Linked DNA regions of Drosophila melanogaster. Changing the gene in region 1 together with any one later gene gives a genetic interaction. Each region holds a gene or a part of one and is shown in the gene's direction. Other genes may lie near its edges.

Region 1 (7,568 bases):
AGAACGGCTTGCACAAGGCAATGGTGTGATCCACTCCGTAGGCCACTTTGGTGACCTTTCCGTTGATGGCCGCCTTAAAGGGAAAGAACTGGTCCTTCTTGTGTCCCAGCCCCAGATGCCCGAACCTGTTCTTGCCCCACATGAAGAGATCTCCGTCCGAGTTGACGGCGCCCATGTGAAACACTCCGCATCCGATGGAAACCACTGTGGTTTCGTTGCTGAAGTCATTTCGTCCGAATAAAGGCGGCAACAGATGCTGCGGCTTGGATGTTTGCTCCACGAAGGGTCCGAAGCCGAGGATGCCAAAGCCCCAGGTGTACACCAGACCCTGGTCGTTGAGGGCCATGCAAAATGAGCCTCCCGCAGCCACATCCTTGATTTTCCCGATGGACTTCGTTAGTTTGAGAGCTCTAGGGATATTTATTTGGGTTTCGGCCAGCTCTGAGTCATCTAGCTGTCCGTACTCAGAATTGCCCCAGCCAAAGGCATCGCCCGCCTCGTTAAGGGCCAAAACGCAGTCCGAGGAGCAGCTGAGCCGCACAATCTTCTCCTTTTCCACATCTCCTCCAATCAGGGTTATCTGCCCGGCGGTGTGGTAGTTTCCCTGACCTGTTTGACCATCCGCACCCCAGCCACATGTGTAAATGCGTCCCTTTTTGGTAAGAAACATGCTGTGGTCCTGGCCGCACTCCACCTGGACCACCTCATCCTCCTTGCCGCATATATCTTCCTGCGATATCCTGTGGATCAGGGCACTCTTGCTGTACCGCTCCTCCTCTATGATGGAGCGGCCACATTGGCCGTACGAATTGTTTCCCAGGGTGAAAATGGTTCCGTTTTGGGTCAGAACCACCAGGTGAGCTCTACCCGCCGACATGCTCTTCACACGCATGTCCTCGTCTGTTTCTCCCTGAACTCTCGGCAGTTTAATGGCTGTAGGATAAATGATCACGTCAAGGTTGGCCGGATCATTGGGATTTCCCTTCACCTGGAAACCCAGTTGGGAGTCGGTGTTCAAACCGCTGCCAAAGAGCGTCTCTCCGTCATCTCTATTCACGGCGTAGACCGTGAACCCGTAGCCGGCGGCCACATCCGTGATTTCGTTGTTGTTGGAGAACTGCAAGCGGGTGGGATGGTGCACCATCTCCGTGTAGCGTTCCTTGGCCTTCTTCACGTTGGTCTGGAGACCGAGAGCGCCGGTTTCCTGAAAGCCCCACACGTAAACTCGGTGCTCATGGCTGTCCGTCGTCTTCGGTGAGTACTCCTTGATCTTCGACTTGTCCTGCGCCAGCACACCCCTCTTCGCCTTGGCGGTGTACGACCTGCTGATGCCAAGCACAATACCCCGAGTTTTCAGCATGGTATTTCGGGTTAAACCAACCATGTAATCCAAAATCATAACAAAAACGCCACCCGATATCGATAGACCCGATGACCGGACAAGTGCTGCACAGCGCGCAACGTGCTTATCGATAGTTCGCTAAGAAAAACCGCTGATACGCCACCTGACAGCCCTGGTCGTGGTCAATCGCTATCGCCTTCCGCACATCGAAATCGGATGGGCGACGTGAAAGAAACGGCTCCGGCAAAATCATTAAAATTTAATTAGTTAACCGCAAGAGAGCGCTGCAAAATTGTGCAAACAATTTGCCACTTAACGCAGTTAACGTGTGCGGTAATCAGAAGCGTGGAAAAGCGTTTATTTGTCAGGATTTGTGTGTTTTTCAATCGCGGCAGCAGCATATGTACACACACACAGGCTCACCCCCGCCCCACTCACACACACACACTCACGCCTAGGTGTATTATAATTAAAGTTGTGTTTTAAGTGTGTGTAAAGTGCAATAGCCCAGTGGAAAGTGGAAGTGATATAGAGTGCGTTCCAGGAGTTCCAGGAGCAGTGTCTTATCCCATGTCTTCCACTCCCAAATCCTGAGGATTGCCAAGGGTTAAGACCGAGAAATACGGACTCCGACTTTCCGGATAAGGATACGGATACGGATAAGGAGTGCCAGGATAAGGAGATCCAGGAGGAATATAGGAGTTGCCAGTCCAACCGCTTCGTCTCCGGTAGGTACACACAAAATATTCGGCTGCTCCTTTTTAGCTCCTGTTCGAATCTCTCACGGCTCTCTCTCTCGGCTCTCTCTCTCTCTCTCTTGACCTGCGCTCTCTCTCTTTATCTCGCCCTCGTCACCTGGTGGTGCGTAGTCCTTTGGCTCGGTCCACCACCCGCCCAGTGGGCGGTGCTGCAACCCTTAGCCCTCCGCTTTCCATCACCTTTTTTTGGGTAACCATGGTCGTGTTTACGGCAAACTGTGCCACCGATATATATGTGTGTACATATGTACCCTTTCCCTTGTCTAGATAGATGAAACAGATAAATCGTGAAGATGCTTCACTTACCATAAATCTATAATATGTTCATTGCTCAAATACTACTATAGTAGGTACTTGTGTTTTTCAAAAGCCTGTGCCAGGTACAAAAGCTTGTACTCTTAACAACACTGGGAACGAGTCCTGCCATCCTTTGCAGGACGAGAAGTCCACCCTCTCGCTGCCAAAAAGCCACCACCTCGCAGAGATTTTGCGCAGCATCTCTAAACGAAACGGCCGGCAAATGTCGCAAACTCCCTCGGCAACAAAAGCCAAAAAAAAAATACAAAATACAAAAAACAAAACCGAAACCGAAACCCCATTCGAATCCCATTCCCCAGCAAAAGCATCTACTTAATCAACCCGGGCGGGAGTGGACTCCCAGCTCCCTGAATGAGTGATCTTATGTAAACAGGCTGCCCTTTGCCTCCCACGCCCCGAGATCCAGATAAGAGTGCCCCACTTTCAGTTCCTCCATGGCTGCCCCATCCATCCACCGAAGTCGTAACTCAATGTTATAGACCCAAATGCTCCCGTTTCGGGGCCACCAATTCGTTCGTGATGGCTTTTCTTGGGGACCAATGACTATACTCCCTCGTCTGGAACCGATCTTCAACCAATACACAGACACAGCACGGGGAAACAAACTTTCCGCCTCATAAACTTGTGGGCTTGTCCCCCAAGCACGTGCAACTCTTTCTTTCTCTCAGCGAAAAGACGAACTGCTGTCAGGAAAACAATGAACGAGTGCACCGGAAAAAAACATAAATGTTTGTCATACGGGAAGCTAAGAAATCATACCACAAAGAATTCTTTAAAAATATATATTCATTTATTGCAGTAGCAGTAGGGAATCTTATCAAATCATAGTTCATAATATATTTTTTGACAATTTCTCCGCGCTAACGAACTTATCAGCAAGTTCCTTCCGATTTCTTCGGATTTTATCAGCAGTGTAATGTCAATGTCTCGGCTGTTGGGCTTATGCAAGCGCAAACAATAACAAAACAATCACCAAGCCAAAGAAATCCAAACACCGATCCGAATCCAACGGTGGTGCATTTCAGTTCATTGGCAGCCAGCCAGCCAGCCAGGCGTTTCATGTTTACCAAGTCCCCAAGCGAACCGAACTGAACCGCCCCCTTATCACTCCAGCATTTGCATAAATATAATCTTTTTCGGGTTCTTTCTCCGTTTCTATCTGGGTTCGGTTACGGTTTCACTCCCGCTTTCTCCTCTCAAAAAATAGGGAAAACACACAGACAATTCGCACAACAGTGAATCACTTTGCGACCAATGCTTCGGTTAAACAGGTACTTCTCCGTATCTCTAGCTAACGCAAAAACCTTTGACTAATCGATGGTAAAGTAAACAAAAACACTCGTTATCACATGGAGATTATTATGGCCAAAATTCGAACAGGAAGCACGATTAGAAGTTTACCGGCAAAACAAATTTATGCATTGCCTGCATTTCTTATTATATACGTATGGGTCAGTTGCTAATAGATATTGCACCGAAATGCCAGAATTGAATGGCATTAGAGCTCTCGAAAACACTTTCAGCTGACTCAGCCTCTCGTGTATGACCTAACAGTCATTGAAAAGCGAAACCAAGATTGGCCTAGAGTCAAAGACCGAGTAGAGCGTTTTCTCAACGTGGCCCACACTTATTGATTTTTAATTATCCAAAGATGGCCCTCGGCTATGACATTGACTTTGATTTTGTTGGCTCGCCAACCTGGCCAACGAACTCGGGAAGCCTCTCTAGAGATCTCTGGCCGAAATAACCTTCTGTGCCGCCCGCTAACTGCCTTATGTCACTCGGTAAATCTCGGTTAAGAAACCAATTTCCCAATACCCCCGACCATTCACGTTCGTGACTCATTGCGGTCGAATGTCTCAGTTGATTTCTGTGTCTTTCTTGGCCTGAAATGGCCCGGATTTTGAGTCTCTGGTTCTCCAGCCTCGGTGAGGCTGCCCCGTTGAACAAATCAATACCCGATGGCCACTTATTCGCTCGCCTGGCAATTGGATTCAATTGAGTGGAGTCAGTCGGAGGCAACTTTCACTTGCACAGATTTTAATTGCCCCACAACTGGAATGGCCAGATCCCTCAGCCCCCATATCCATCTCCCGCTCATATTATCATCATCATGATCATCACAACACAAACACTTCACTCATTCATCTTCATCGCCGGCTCGCTGACCCCAAAAACAAACATTCATCTCTCGGCTAATTTTGAGTTGATTTCCTATTTGGTATTTCGAGTTTGAGTACTTGCATTGTATTTTTTAAGCTAATCATTTTTACGCTCTTTAGCTTCTTCAGTGCGAAACAATTAAGCCTAATTTGCATATATCATTTGCTCTCTTTTTCTTTCTTTCTTCGTTCGTTGCTTATGTTATTGCGTTGCTTATGTTTACTTTGCCACGCCTACGCTTCCGCCCACGCTCACGCCCATTCGCCCCCTGAAACCACGCCCACAGCAATTATGCATTGGCTAGAGGCGATTTGCAGCAAGCTTAGAGTGCCAGCGAGCAACTGCAACACATAACCAAACCATCAAAGACTTGTTGTTCATCAACTCCAACCCCAACTCCAAGTCCACCAACACTGAGCCACCGCCTCTTGCCTCCAGGAGCATCACCAGGAGCATCAGGGCAGTCCCAGCTGGAGGAGCAGGAATCCCCCCGCGGCGGAGGAGCAGCCAGTCTGGAATGTTGGAACACCCCCAGCGGTTTGTGCGCAACATCCCCGACTCCTCAGCCAGTTCGCAGCAGTATCCGCAGCAGCAGCAGCATCCGCCACAGCTGCCGCAGCACCAGAATCTGAATCTCAACCAGAATCAGAACCTGAACCAGAATCAGATCTACCAGTACCGTCCCCAGGTGCCCGTGCCCGTTCCCGGCTCACCTGCCCATCACCAGCGGCACTCTTCGCTCTCCCAGCAACAGCAGTTGCACCACCACCGCACCCTGTCCACCGCCTCCTCCTGCAGCGCCCAGCACAAAAGTGTGACCTTCGGCCAGCCAGCGCTCGACTGCGGCGGCAACGGCAGCGGAAGCGCCAACGGAAGCGGTAGCGGCAACTCCTCCAGTGGCAGTGCCGCCGGCAACGCTGGAACCCAATCAATGGCGGGCAACATGAAGCACGGTGAGCAACTGCAACACAATAACCTCACAGCGAGAAGAGCATTGGGTGTAGTAAAAGGATCTAGGATTTGTATGCTAATGAATTTGTGGTTCTATCATACTGGCCCATTTTGCTTTTCTAACTGTGTGTGCACTTGGTACTCTTCTAACCTGTTCCTGTTAATCACTCCGCAGGCAAATCTCAGGACGACGTCTGCTACGTGGTAGCCAAGTACGACTATGCGGCGCAGGGTGCCCAGGAGCTGGATCTGCGCAAGAACGAGCGCTACCTGCTGCTGGACGACTCCAAGCACTGGTGGCGCGTCCAGAACAGTCGCAACCAGTCCGGCTACGTGCCAAGCAACTATGTGAAGAAGGAGAAGCCCTCGCTCTTCGACAGGTGCGTCAGATTCCTGGCCCGACTAAACCTAAGCGTTCTTCTTGCTCTGATTTCAGCAGAATTAAGCCCTCTATACCTGTATCTGTATCCGTATCCGTAGATGTATCTGTATCTCTATCGCGTTCAAATACCCGCCTCCACCTTTTGCTTTGGCTATCGTAATTTAACTTATAACTGCTTTCGGCTTTTGTATTTTGTATTTCAAAACAACAAATTCGTTTTGATTTCGTTGTCTGTCGAGCCCCACTTGCCCCTAAAAACTAAAGATCCACTAACACCCAAACCAACTAGGGCTAGTCTAACCCACTTTAAACCGCCAATGAAATCTAACCATAAAACTTCATCCCAATACTGATCGTGAATATTTTGATTTACGATTTCTGTGCAGCATTAAGAAGAAGGTGAAAAAGGGCTCCGGATCGAAGACACTGCCTAATTGTTCGCCTTCGCGACAGGTCGAGAGTCCAACCATGTCGCGCCGACTTCCCCCAGATCCCGCAGAGGCCATCGGAACGGCTGTGGTCAAGTATAACTATCAGGCCCAGCAGCCCGATGAACTTTCGCTGACCAAGGGCACACGAATCCTCATCCTGGAGAAGTCCAACGATGGATGGTGGCGTGGACAGAGCGGCAATTCCGTCGGCTGGTTCCCCAGCAACTACACAACGGAGGATTGTGATAACGACGGCGAGATCCACACCTACGCAATGGCCGAGAACGTGCTTGATATTGTGGTGAGTAACTGGACGTGTTCTCAAAATAAACATTCACATCATCTATGAGAGGTTGTCATTATTGGCTAATAACAACTATTTTCAAATATATAGGTCGCGCTGTACAGCTTCACGTCAAACAACGACCAGGAGCTCTCGTTCGAGAAGGGCGATCGCTTGGAGATCGTGGATCGGCCCGCCTCCGATCCGGACTGGTACAAAGCTCGCAACAATCAGGGCCAAGTCGGTTTAGTTCCACGCAATTATCTCCAAGAGTTGAACGACTACCTGGCCACGCCCTATCGTAATGCGAGTGCCAGTGCAGGAAACGGAAATGGAGGAGGAAGTAATGGCGGCGCAGGTGGTGGCGGAGGAAACGACTCCATGGAGCGGCGCAATGAGGGTAATAAGCCGGCGGCGCAATCTTCCGGCCAGCCAATCGAGCGGCCAAATCTGGCGGGCAAGTCGTGGTATTATGGAGCCATCACCCGCAGCCAGTGCGACACGGTGCTCAACGGCCACGGGCACGATGGCGACTTCCTCATCAGAGACAGTGAGACTAACGTAAGTGGAATTCGCAATTGAAGTGCCATAACATAGTTCCGCCCGAATTCTTTGAGAGTGTATAAACGAATTCATCCTTTCTTGCAGATGGGAGACTATTCGGTTTCGTTAAAGGCCCCAGGGCGCAACAAGCACTTCCGCGTGCACGTGGAGCAGAACATGTACTGCATTGGGCAGAGGAAGTTCCACTCGCTGGACCAACTGGTCGATCACTACCAAAGAGCGCCCATCTACACGAATAAGCAGGGCGAAAAGCTGTATCTGGTGCGATCGCTGCCGAAGGCCAATGGCACGTAAGCAGGTCCAGGACTGGAGCAGAGAAATCTCAGCATTCATATTACCCGTATTCAACAACACACATATGCAACACAAAGATATA
Region 2 (4,711 bases), on another chromosome or scaffold:
GTAGCACAGCTCCTCGTATGAGATATTCTTGTTGATGGTGGTAATGATAATCTGGCCATTGTAGGCGGTCTTTACCGTTATACTATTGGGCGTATTGGCCATGTTCATACTGGCGCTATTCAAGCTGACGCTGCTGCCGTCGTTCAGAATTTGCGAGGGCATTTTCTGCATTTGCTAGCTGGGTAAAATATTTTGATATCACGTAACACACAGAGACAAACAGATTGATAACAGAAAACTGCAAAAATAAGAGTAAATAGATACGAGTTAAAAACGAAGCGGTTTACAGTAAAATAAATTAAAAAGACATTTTACAATTACAAATTAAGCTAAAAGTAAGTTTTATTTTCTAGTTTAAATAAAAAAATATATTTTAATAAACTATTAGTGGCGAAATATATTTATATTTATACATTGACTGAACTTTTTTAAGGATTTGTTATTTTGTAGAAGCTTAACTGTAAAGTGTCGTAGCATTATCTTCAGAATCTGATAGATAAACGAACTTATGAATTTCTATTGCTCTCTCTGTTATCGTTTTCTCTTTGCCCACGAATTTGAAATCCCGCCCAAAACCAAATGTCAACTTTGACATTTGAGGCACACACACACATACGCAGACGCCAAACGAACTGCATGCCACAGGTAGTTGTTGTTGCTTGCGCTGCACCAAATGCGTAGACGTTGATAAAACGAATAAGACAAAACAAACGCGAGTGAATCATGCAAAACGCCCACAAAACAATAAAAGAAGAAAAGTAAGTGGAATTAGCACGCCAAAGCGAGTGTGCAAATTAGTTTATTTTTACTCCTCGCCTCTCCTTCTTTCACCGCTTACTTGGCATCTCAGTACTTAAGTATTTGAGCGTAATTAATGCCGTACATTGACCAAGGTAACTGTTAAAAGTACCCAGTTGGCCGCAACAACAATAGTGCAACAAATGAGCGAGAAAGAGAGAGAGTGGAGGCAGGGCATCGAGAGCGAGCAGGAGAGTCGCCAACCTGTTTTAACTCATTAGCATTTTTCAATTAAGACGCCGCTTTTTTAACATTAACACTTTTAATAAGCTTAAGCTTAGTAATCGACTCACACTGGTTCCTTTAGTTTATTTAACCACAAAAAGTATGCACAAAACGCCGCACAAATATAACACAGGGGACAAATCAAACAGCACGAAACATTTAAATTAAAGCCAATCAGTGCGCCACATACATTTTAATTAAGACACTGGCACTCGCACTCGTTTAATTAATTGTTATGGCTAAAACGAATTAAAACTAACATTGCTATTTCTCCGTTTATTTCGTTGTGGAAGGAGAGCACAAAGCGGAGAACGCGAAGTGACAGCACAGAAAATACCGACAAGGGAGTGCTGCAAGTGCCTCAATAATAACATGTTTACCAACACTGCTAGGGGTCGTTTTTAAATAATTGGTATTTTTGAGCTTCCACACCGGTTTCAGGGGTGGAAAACAATTATGACCGGTGATAAATGAAAAAGTTGTACGTACAACACTATTTAAAGCAAAAATACAAAAGACATTATTTTTTGATGATTATAACATCAACTTCAAAACACAAACTGAGCAGATGACCCAAAAATACTAAAACATCGATACGTCAATACTTTGTGTGCAATCGATGTTTTATTAATGAGGTATTTTCCAACAGCCACGCTGCGATCACACTAAGTTTTGTTTTCGTTTTTCCGCTGTTCGGACGTTTGTAGCGGAAACCCGTTCTTTTGTCGTTAGATTCAAAAACGAAATATATCACAAGTACGGATATCACAACAAAGTAAAGTGATTATAATTACAAAGTAAGAAAGCAGTGCTTAATATATCTGAGAAAATAAAAAAAATAAATAAAACTCAACAAATTGCCACAAAAGAAAATGGCGGCTCAGCAAATAAAAAAGAGCACTCGCGACCACAACAACTGAGCAAGAAATTCAGCTTAAAAGAAACCAACAAAAAAAAAAGCGTCAACATTTTCGTCTGCCTGAAATTAATCTGGTTTTTATGTTTTACTCGCGCGTCGTAGACATAAAATAAAGACAACAAACAGTGAGTTTTGGTGCGAGTGGATGTGTCTGCGTGCGTTTGATGCCGTTTGTTAGTCTCTTGTTTTTGTGGAAAAAACCATAAAAAACGTGAAATTCATTAAGCTACAAAAGCAACAATTACGAGCGTTTTACATTGTTTACATTTTGTGTGCCAGCTTTCGTTACGCTTGTGATTTATGTGATTTGTCGAACGGTAAGAGGAGGAGCGGAGAGAACTTAGCCAAAAGCCTGGAAAATAGTAATATTATCTGCTAACGTAAGTTTATAATATGTACACTTAATTACGTTTACACTTAAATGGGTCTTGGTGTTTTTGGTACATTTCGGACAGGCGGCAACTCTTTTTTGTGTTTTTATTTTGATGCGGCCTTCGTCCTGCGCTGCCTGCGTCGACGTCGGCGTCGCCATCTGTCACTTATGAGGGTTGCCAGCTGTTTCGATGCGCCTTGTATTCAATGCGGCATCTTTAGCATCTGCAGGAAATTGGGTTTTCAACAAAAAAATAGAGGAAACAAAAGACAATCAGGAGGAGGGGTACTCACGACTGCAGCTGCCGCTGTTTAGGCTTATGTAATTAATAAACGAACACGTGTCTGGCATTGCGAACGACACGTGACAACTCTGGTCGTGAGTAGTGGGAGTGTAATAAAACTTAAAGTCTTGTTCTTTATTGTTTTCCTTTTTTTTTATTAATTCTCCGTTTGCATAATTGTCCCTTGCCATAATTAAAATCGAGACCAGCGCTCTACGTAAATTTTTTCTGCTCTTTGGCTGTTATAGCTCAGATTGCGCCATAAAACTCATATAAATCAATAGAAAGCGCAGCAGTACACACTTACACACACACAGCCGGAAAAACCATAACTCACTTGCCATAATAAAACGAGTGAGAGCGAGATAGCTGGAGATGTAGAGAGAGTCCGCGCTCAATATGCAGAGATTTGTGTGGGAATCAAATGACTTGATGTCGTTGTCTCCAATGAAGTGTTAGAATAACGGTTGGGGAGGGGAGTCGGGCGGCAATGGCTCCACCAAGAGATTAGAGGCAGAGAAAGAGAGCGAGAGCATGCAGCTGCGCGGTTCTCAAATAGAGTTACCGCCGATGGAGCCTCGCTCGCTCTTGCGCTCTCTCCCCAAGTGGCTCCATCTCTCTATTTCTCTTATTGCCTTGTGCGGCATGAAAAGTGGTTGTGCTTGGTTCATTCGCTTGTGTGTGTGTGTGTGTGTGTGTGTGCGTGCCTCGGTTTGTTTGTCTTTTGCGTGGCATTCAACGCACAGTGGGACAGATAAGGAGATTATCAATTGCTGTCCCCACTCCCTCTCATTAATCTTCTCGCTGCAATGGAAAAGTAAACCAAGTTGAACGATCTATTAATATCTTACAACTTGAAGTTATATATAGGAACATTGAACGTATAAATAGGGCTCTATCTTTTTGAAGCCCAACTTAATATGTTCAATCTTTATATAGTATCTAATATTTACATATGTATATAGTATCTTACAGTTTGGGTACTTTAGGGCTTTAGCAGAACTTCGGTGAACTTCTTGTAGCCGCCTTCAGTAAGCGGTTCCACTGTGCCAAGTGCATTTCCATCGTTGCCAATGGCAACCACTTTAGGGAATAATGCTTGTGCCTGCTTATTGAAGCTACGCTTTGTTTTCCCATTTCTCTTTCACTACCGCCTTTCCCTCGGTCCCCCTTTTCATTCATTTATTAACTAACTAATTTGCCAGGCCCGAAACAAATTGCCCAGCGGAATTGTTATTGTTTCAATTGCAACAAATTGGCCGCTGAGAAAAATGGTTTTCTCTCCTTGCAAGAGAATGATAGAAAGGAAGGGGAGGGGAAGGGGAGGACAAGTACAAGTACAAGTTGCGCATTCGCTCTCCTTTGGAGCTCGCTCAGCTGGCTCGCTCTCTCTGTCTCTCTCACTTACAACTTCGAGGACTCCGGACTCCAATCGGATTTTACGGACCTGGCTTTAATGCTCGAATGCTGGAGCCGCGATTCAATACGCTTTGGCTTGCGGTCGTCGGCGCTTCTCTTTTTTCGGGCTCCTCTCGCTCGGGGTCTGCGATTCTCCAATTCTCAACACACAGCTACTTTTCTGCTCGGTATATGTCCGCGCGCGCGTGTGTGTGTGTATGTGTGTGAGTTTGAGTGCGTGCATGTGTGTGTTGGTGTTAACGTAAAAAGAAATTTTTGCACAGCATTTATCGTATGAAAAATCAATTGGTATCTTGGTGAAAACCGCAGTTAATGTGAATTTTAAGTGTCATCATTGGATTCGCATAGAAATCTCGAAGGAATTCATCATTTTAACATGGTAATTTGCATATTTTTTGCACAGTTGTTCTGCAAAATCGTACGCATGTGTGCGTGTGACTACGTTTCGTGGTGTGTGTGTGCGTAGTAGTAAGCCGCATACGATTTTTCGCCGAAAATTGTAGGCGGTGGGCGGGGCAAAAGGCAAGTGCCTTAAAAAAGTCTCAAAACGTTCAATTTAGCTGTAAAACGCTGAGCACTACCCTTCATTATTAATGACTACACCGAAAAAAAGTAGTTTAAGCCATATAAATTGGTAAATGGTTCTAGTATTATATATGCCAGTTACTCTCAAAATTCATACCCACGCTTATAT
Region 3 (4,664 bases), on another chromosome or scaffold:
AGTGCCTGCGCAGTGTGCGGCGATCAGAGCTCCGGGAAGCACTACGGCGTGTCCTGCTGCGATGGGTGCTCCTGCTTTTTCAAGCGGAGCGTGCGGCGCGGGAGCAGCTACGCCTGCATCGCTCTGGTCGGGAACTGTGTGGTGGACAAGGCGCGGCGGAACTGGTGTCCCTCCTGCCGCTTCCAGCGATGCCTGGCCGTGGGAATGAACGCTGCTGCGGTTCAGGAGGAGCGCGGTCCGCGCAACCAGCAGGTGGCTCTCTACCGCACTGGCCGGAGACAAGCTCCGCCATCTCAGGCGGCGCCATCCCCGACGCCCCACTCCCAGGCGCTGCACTTCCAGATCCTCGCCCAGATCCTTGTCACGTGCCTGCGCCAGGCGAAGGCCAACGAGCAGTTCGCTCTGTTGGATCGCTGCCAACAAGACGCCATCTTTCAGGTGGTGTGGAGCGAGATCTTCGTCCTGCGAGCGTCCCACTGGTCTCTGGACATCAGCGCCATGATCGACGGCTGCGGCGATGAGCAGCTCAAACGGCTCATTTGCGAGGCCCACCAGCTAAGGGCCGACGTCCTGGAACTCAACTTTATGGAGTCCCTAATCCTGTGCAGAAAAGGTAAAGCTCCGCCTGTGCGGTAAAAAGGCTTGTTAGGATTTAAAAATAAAAGCGGTTTGAAGCCATCTAACCAATTTTCAATGTTTTTACACATATTGACGTGATTTCTTAGACGAAAATTTAAATCCTATGTACGCTATGTATAGATTTTGCTATTTGATTCTGCATGAAAGAGTACACCCAAGCAGTTTTCTTAACCCCAGAAAAAACGTTTCCGTTTTGGGCTTAATAAATTCAAAAGAAAATTTTCCAGCATGTGCAGTTGGTTTGTTTGAACCAACCATAAAATTTGATTAGATTCAAGATTAGAGACAGATTTAAGACCTTTTACATCGTTTTAATTTAATTAAGAGTTTAATAGGAAGTCAAACCACCATTAGTATATCCCATTTTAATACTTTTAATTGCTTATATCGATTGCATGTTTTTACAGAATTGGCCATCAATGCGGAGTATGCCGTTATCCTGGGAAGCCACTCTAAAGCCGCCCTGATCTCCTTAGCCCGCTACACCCTGCAGCAATCCAACTACCTGCGGTTCGGACAACTGCTCCTTGGTCTGAGGCAGCTGTGCCTGAGGCGCTTCGACTGCGCGCTTTCTTGTATGTTTCGCAGCGTGGTCAGGGACATCTTAAAAACACTTTAGGCTCATATCTATCTTCATCTTTCAAAATTAAAGAAAAACCTAGTCTTAAAGAGGGTACTAGATAATGGCTGTTTTTCTGTTCGCCAGTTCAAACATCTAAAGTAACTTCGCTATCTGAAGTTTCAACCCATATCTAAAAATGCATTCATTTCTGTCAACAATCGTTCATGGAGGCATTTAGACACGCCCCAAACTTTATTGGCACTATGCAATTTGTTGGAAATAAAAATATTTGGAACAAAGAGATTATTATGAACTCAAAATTTGATGTGGTATTTTTTGAAAAACACTTTTTCAAAGGTCGCCAATCACAATACAAAAAACTCATCGATATGTTGTGAAAAGTCACGGAGCGAATATATTCGTTTCTGTTCGCTATCGATATATTGATATATTTTTGCCATCGCTACATTGTCTGCTGCGGCCGTCTTGTCGTCTTTCTGTAATTATTTTTCGTAGTTAACAAACCCCTGAATAATGTAAACCAATTAGTGGGTGATGCAAGGACCGAAAATGCGCGCGCGTTGCTAAAGAAGCTAGAAAGCGAGAAAGTTTGCGGAGCGCCATAAGATTGCTGCGCTTTAACTGCTGCTGGTGCCTCTCGTCCGTCGGCCATTTATGACACACACCAGAGAAAACTGGAAAACAATACAGTGTGTGTGCGGTTTGGAGTGTGTGCGAGTGCGGCCAAGTGTTGTGGGCTCGGAAAACTCCAAGAAGCCAGTGGAGAAGTGGTGTCCACGCGAATCCGTGAATCGCAAGCGTTTCTTCTTCGACTGCAAGCGGCGTACAGGGTGCACCGTGCAAAAGAAAGGCAGCCAAGGCATATTGTACTTGCAGTGAGTTCAAGTGGAGAGTGGTGGCCGAGTGGAGCGGGTAGAATGGTCTTGTGGAGAGCGGGGCGAGGGAGTTTCATTCATAAAAAGAGAGTGCACCGTTAGTCCAATTGGTCTGGCTTCCAATGCACAGACAAGCACACACACACCGCCTAAGGAGAGGTTGCACACATTGATTTTTCCAACTCACGTGTGTGTGTGTGCGTGTATGTGGATTAAAGGAAAACGTTTCAAGTGGTTTCCACGCCACATTATTTTGGATTAGCACATTGCTGCTCCCGAATTTCCAGCCCAAAAATAAAGCAACCAAATGTCAACAAGCTGGAATGCCCCAATGCCCCTTCCCCCGCTATTAACACACGTGACACGATACAAGACATTTACATAAAGCTCTAATAACTAACAACATTTCGCAGTCGATTTGGCATTTAACAGTTACCGCTCTAACGGCACATGTCCAGTGCGCCAGTGCACCACCCCCTTCCTTCGTTCAACGAAAAACATATTTGCTTAGCACGGTCACAGGTAAAAGCGGAAGGGACAGGGACGCGCGGAAGCGGTCGCGGTAGGGAACTGAAAAGAGGAATATAAAAGGCATAACATTTCCGCCTGCTGCTTTCGGCTGGCGTCCGCAACCAAAATAGACAACGTCGGAGCGGCTGAGAGTCTCCGTCGCCAGCAGTTATGCGTGGCAACTCGCTAAATATGCACCGACCATAATCATCGTATCATTTTTAATGCTTACATTTTGTATATTGATACTAAGATAACTTACTTAAAGTCTTCGGACAGCAGAAGGTGATCTTCGTCATGTTTTGGCTTCATATTTATACAGCAATCCTCGGAAAAATTGCGTAAAATGAATTCCATGAATAAATTCTTAAGTTTAGTTTTAATAGAAAGTTAACATAAAGCAGTCGTCAAAGTAATCAAGAAGCTTGATCACAAACTTTGGCTCCGCGTAAACGTGGCGAAGAAGTATGCATATGTTTGTGGCTTCTTTCAGCTCTTGGAGCGAGCGCCACGTTTGCGTCGCTGTTGTTGCAACATGCACCTAGGCCTGCGTCACTTTGAATGTCCTACCCTCCTCCCTTCCGCTCCCCTGCGTTTGACAACCCCTGTCGCTAATTTAAATGCCGCAAGTGTTGTCGAGTTTCCTGTGCCTACAATGTGTGTTTTTCTCATTAGGGAATAATTTTGCATGGGCCCCTGCAGAAAGAAAAACATTTTTTATCGATTTTACCTAAAGTTCGACCGTCAATGAAATCAAACACAATGCGGTACATCGTTAACCCAGTTCTGGGCGCCCACACGCTCCCGAAAAGTTTGTTCTTGCTTGATTTAAAAACGAATTTTCACCTATGTGTGTATGTTTGCATGCATATTATATGTACATACATATATACGTTTATAGATCTCTGGGCAAGCAGCCAGTAAACCAACGTATGCCCATAAAGCCTATAGTACAGATATACAGTTGCGGTCAAGAATATATCACACAGCAAGTTTACTACTTTCTATTTGTCGATACTCCTTTACTTTTTATCTTAAATTCAGTATGTATCGACATACATACATATGTAATTGAAATCAACGAGCGTATCTATTGAGTAAACAATCTACTTACATCGGTGAATTTAAAAACAATTAGCAAGAAAACATTGCACTTGATAAATTGGGGTAGAAAGGTAATGTCGGAATGAACCGCATGACACATAATGATTTGGGTATTTTATCCTATGATTCTCTTATATACTTATGTACACATATATGTACATATATTGGTCACTAAGAACCCTTTTTTCTGATGATTCAAAAGTTGGAGTTGATATCTTATTAGATCCCCGCTATGCTATTAAGTTGACCACAGCTGTTGGAACTGTATGTTAATGTTTGTCCAACGTTTTCACACTTCGCCACCCCCTCGTCCCAGACTCTCCGCCTCCCGTTAGCTGCATTGACTCTTGACGCCTGACGATGATAAATGAATCATAAAAGCAGCGCAGTCGACGTCGCCGGCAAAGCAGACAGGCGCCAAAGCCGCCTTGCTCTCCTCGCCACTCTGCGCTCCCACTCCTTTTCGCCCTCTCGCTCATATGTTTGGCTGCGATGCCGCCCACTCGAGTGTGTTTATGTTGTTGCTGTCCTCGCTGCTTAATTTCCTCATTTGTGTTGCTGTAATTCCCAATGCGTGAGCTGCTTTGTTTTTATTATGAGTGCAATCGAAGCCACTCTTGTTATCGCAACGAATTTTTTATGGCTCTCGATCGTTTACGTGGGCGAGAGCGGAGCAACTGAGGTAGAGAGGATACCCTTAAAGTGTGTTGTGTGAGAACAGTGGTTTGCGTCTAATGGAAACTGAAATTAAAATATAGTCCTTTAATGATTATTCCATTTTGGGTCATATTTTTTAACTCCATATGCTCTATAGGTGCTCCAATGAATATTTAAAATAAATGAACTAAAAGTGAATAGATGTGGGTATACAATTATGATCAATGCACACTTAACTTAAATAGGATAATATTTTAAGTTCCTCACATAGATGCGCAATAATTGCTGAATTGAAA

The links. A genetic interaction does not mean that the proteins touch.
Region 2: of dock (region 1) and ckn, changing one enhances a phenotype caused by changing the other (phenotypic enhancement), as found in Drosophila melanogaster (one study listed by BioGRID).
Region 3: of dock (region 1) and Pak, changing one suppresses a phenotype caused by changing the other (phenotypic suppression), as found in Drosophila melanogaster (2 studies listed by BioGRID).

What each region holds. Positions count from the first base shown.
Region 1 is NT_033779.5:824,438-832,005, forward strand, and holds the start of dock (dreadlocks), read left to right. Parts: upstream 1-1,531; 5' UTR 1,532-2,070; intron 2,071-4,867; exon of another isoform or gene 4,868-5,019; 5' UTR 5,020-5,098; coding exon 5,099-5,534; intron 5,535-5,707; coding exon 5,708-5,912; intron 5,913-6,300; coding exon 6,301-6,646; intron 6,647-6,739; coding exon 6,740-7,189; intron 7,190-7,276; coding exon 7,277-7,486; 3' UTR 7,487-7,568. Other genes in the region: CG3862 (uncharacterized protein), read right to left, coding at 1-1,360. UniProt on the Drosophila melanogaster protein: Adapter protein that links cell surface receptor tyrosine phosphorylation to downstream signaling pathways and effectors, many of which are involved in regulation of the actin cytoskeleton.
Region 2 is NT_033778.4:14,961,604-14,966,314, forward strand, and holds the start of ckn (caskin), read left to right. Parts: upstream 1-1,688; 5' UTR 1,689-2,322; intron 2,323-4,080; exon of another isoform or gene 4,081-4,396; intron 4,397-4,711.
Region 3 is NT_033777.3:6,349,255-6,353,918, forward strand, and holds the start of Pak (p21-activated kinase), read left to right. Parts: upstream 1-1,641; 5' UTR 1,642-2,097; intron 2,098-3,868; exon of another isoform or gene 3,869-4,285; intron 4,286-4,664. Other genes in the region: Hr83 (hormone receptor 83), read left to right, coding at 1-613, 1,047-1,258.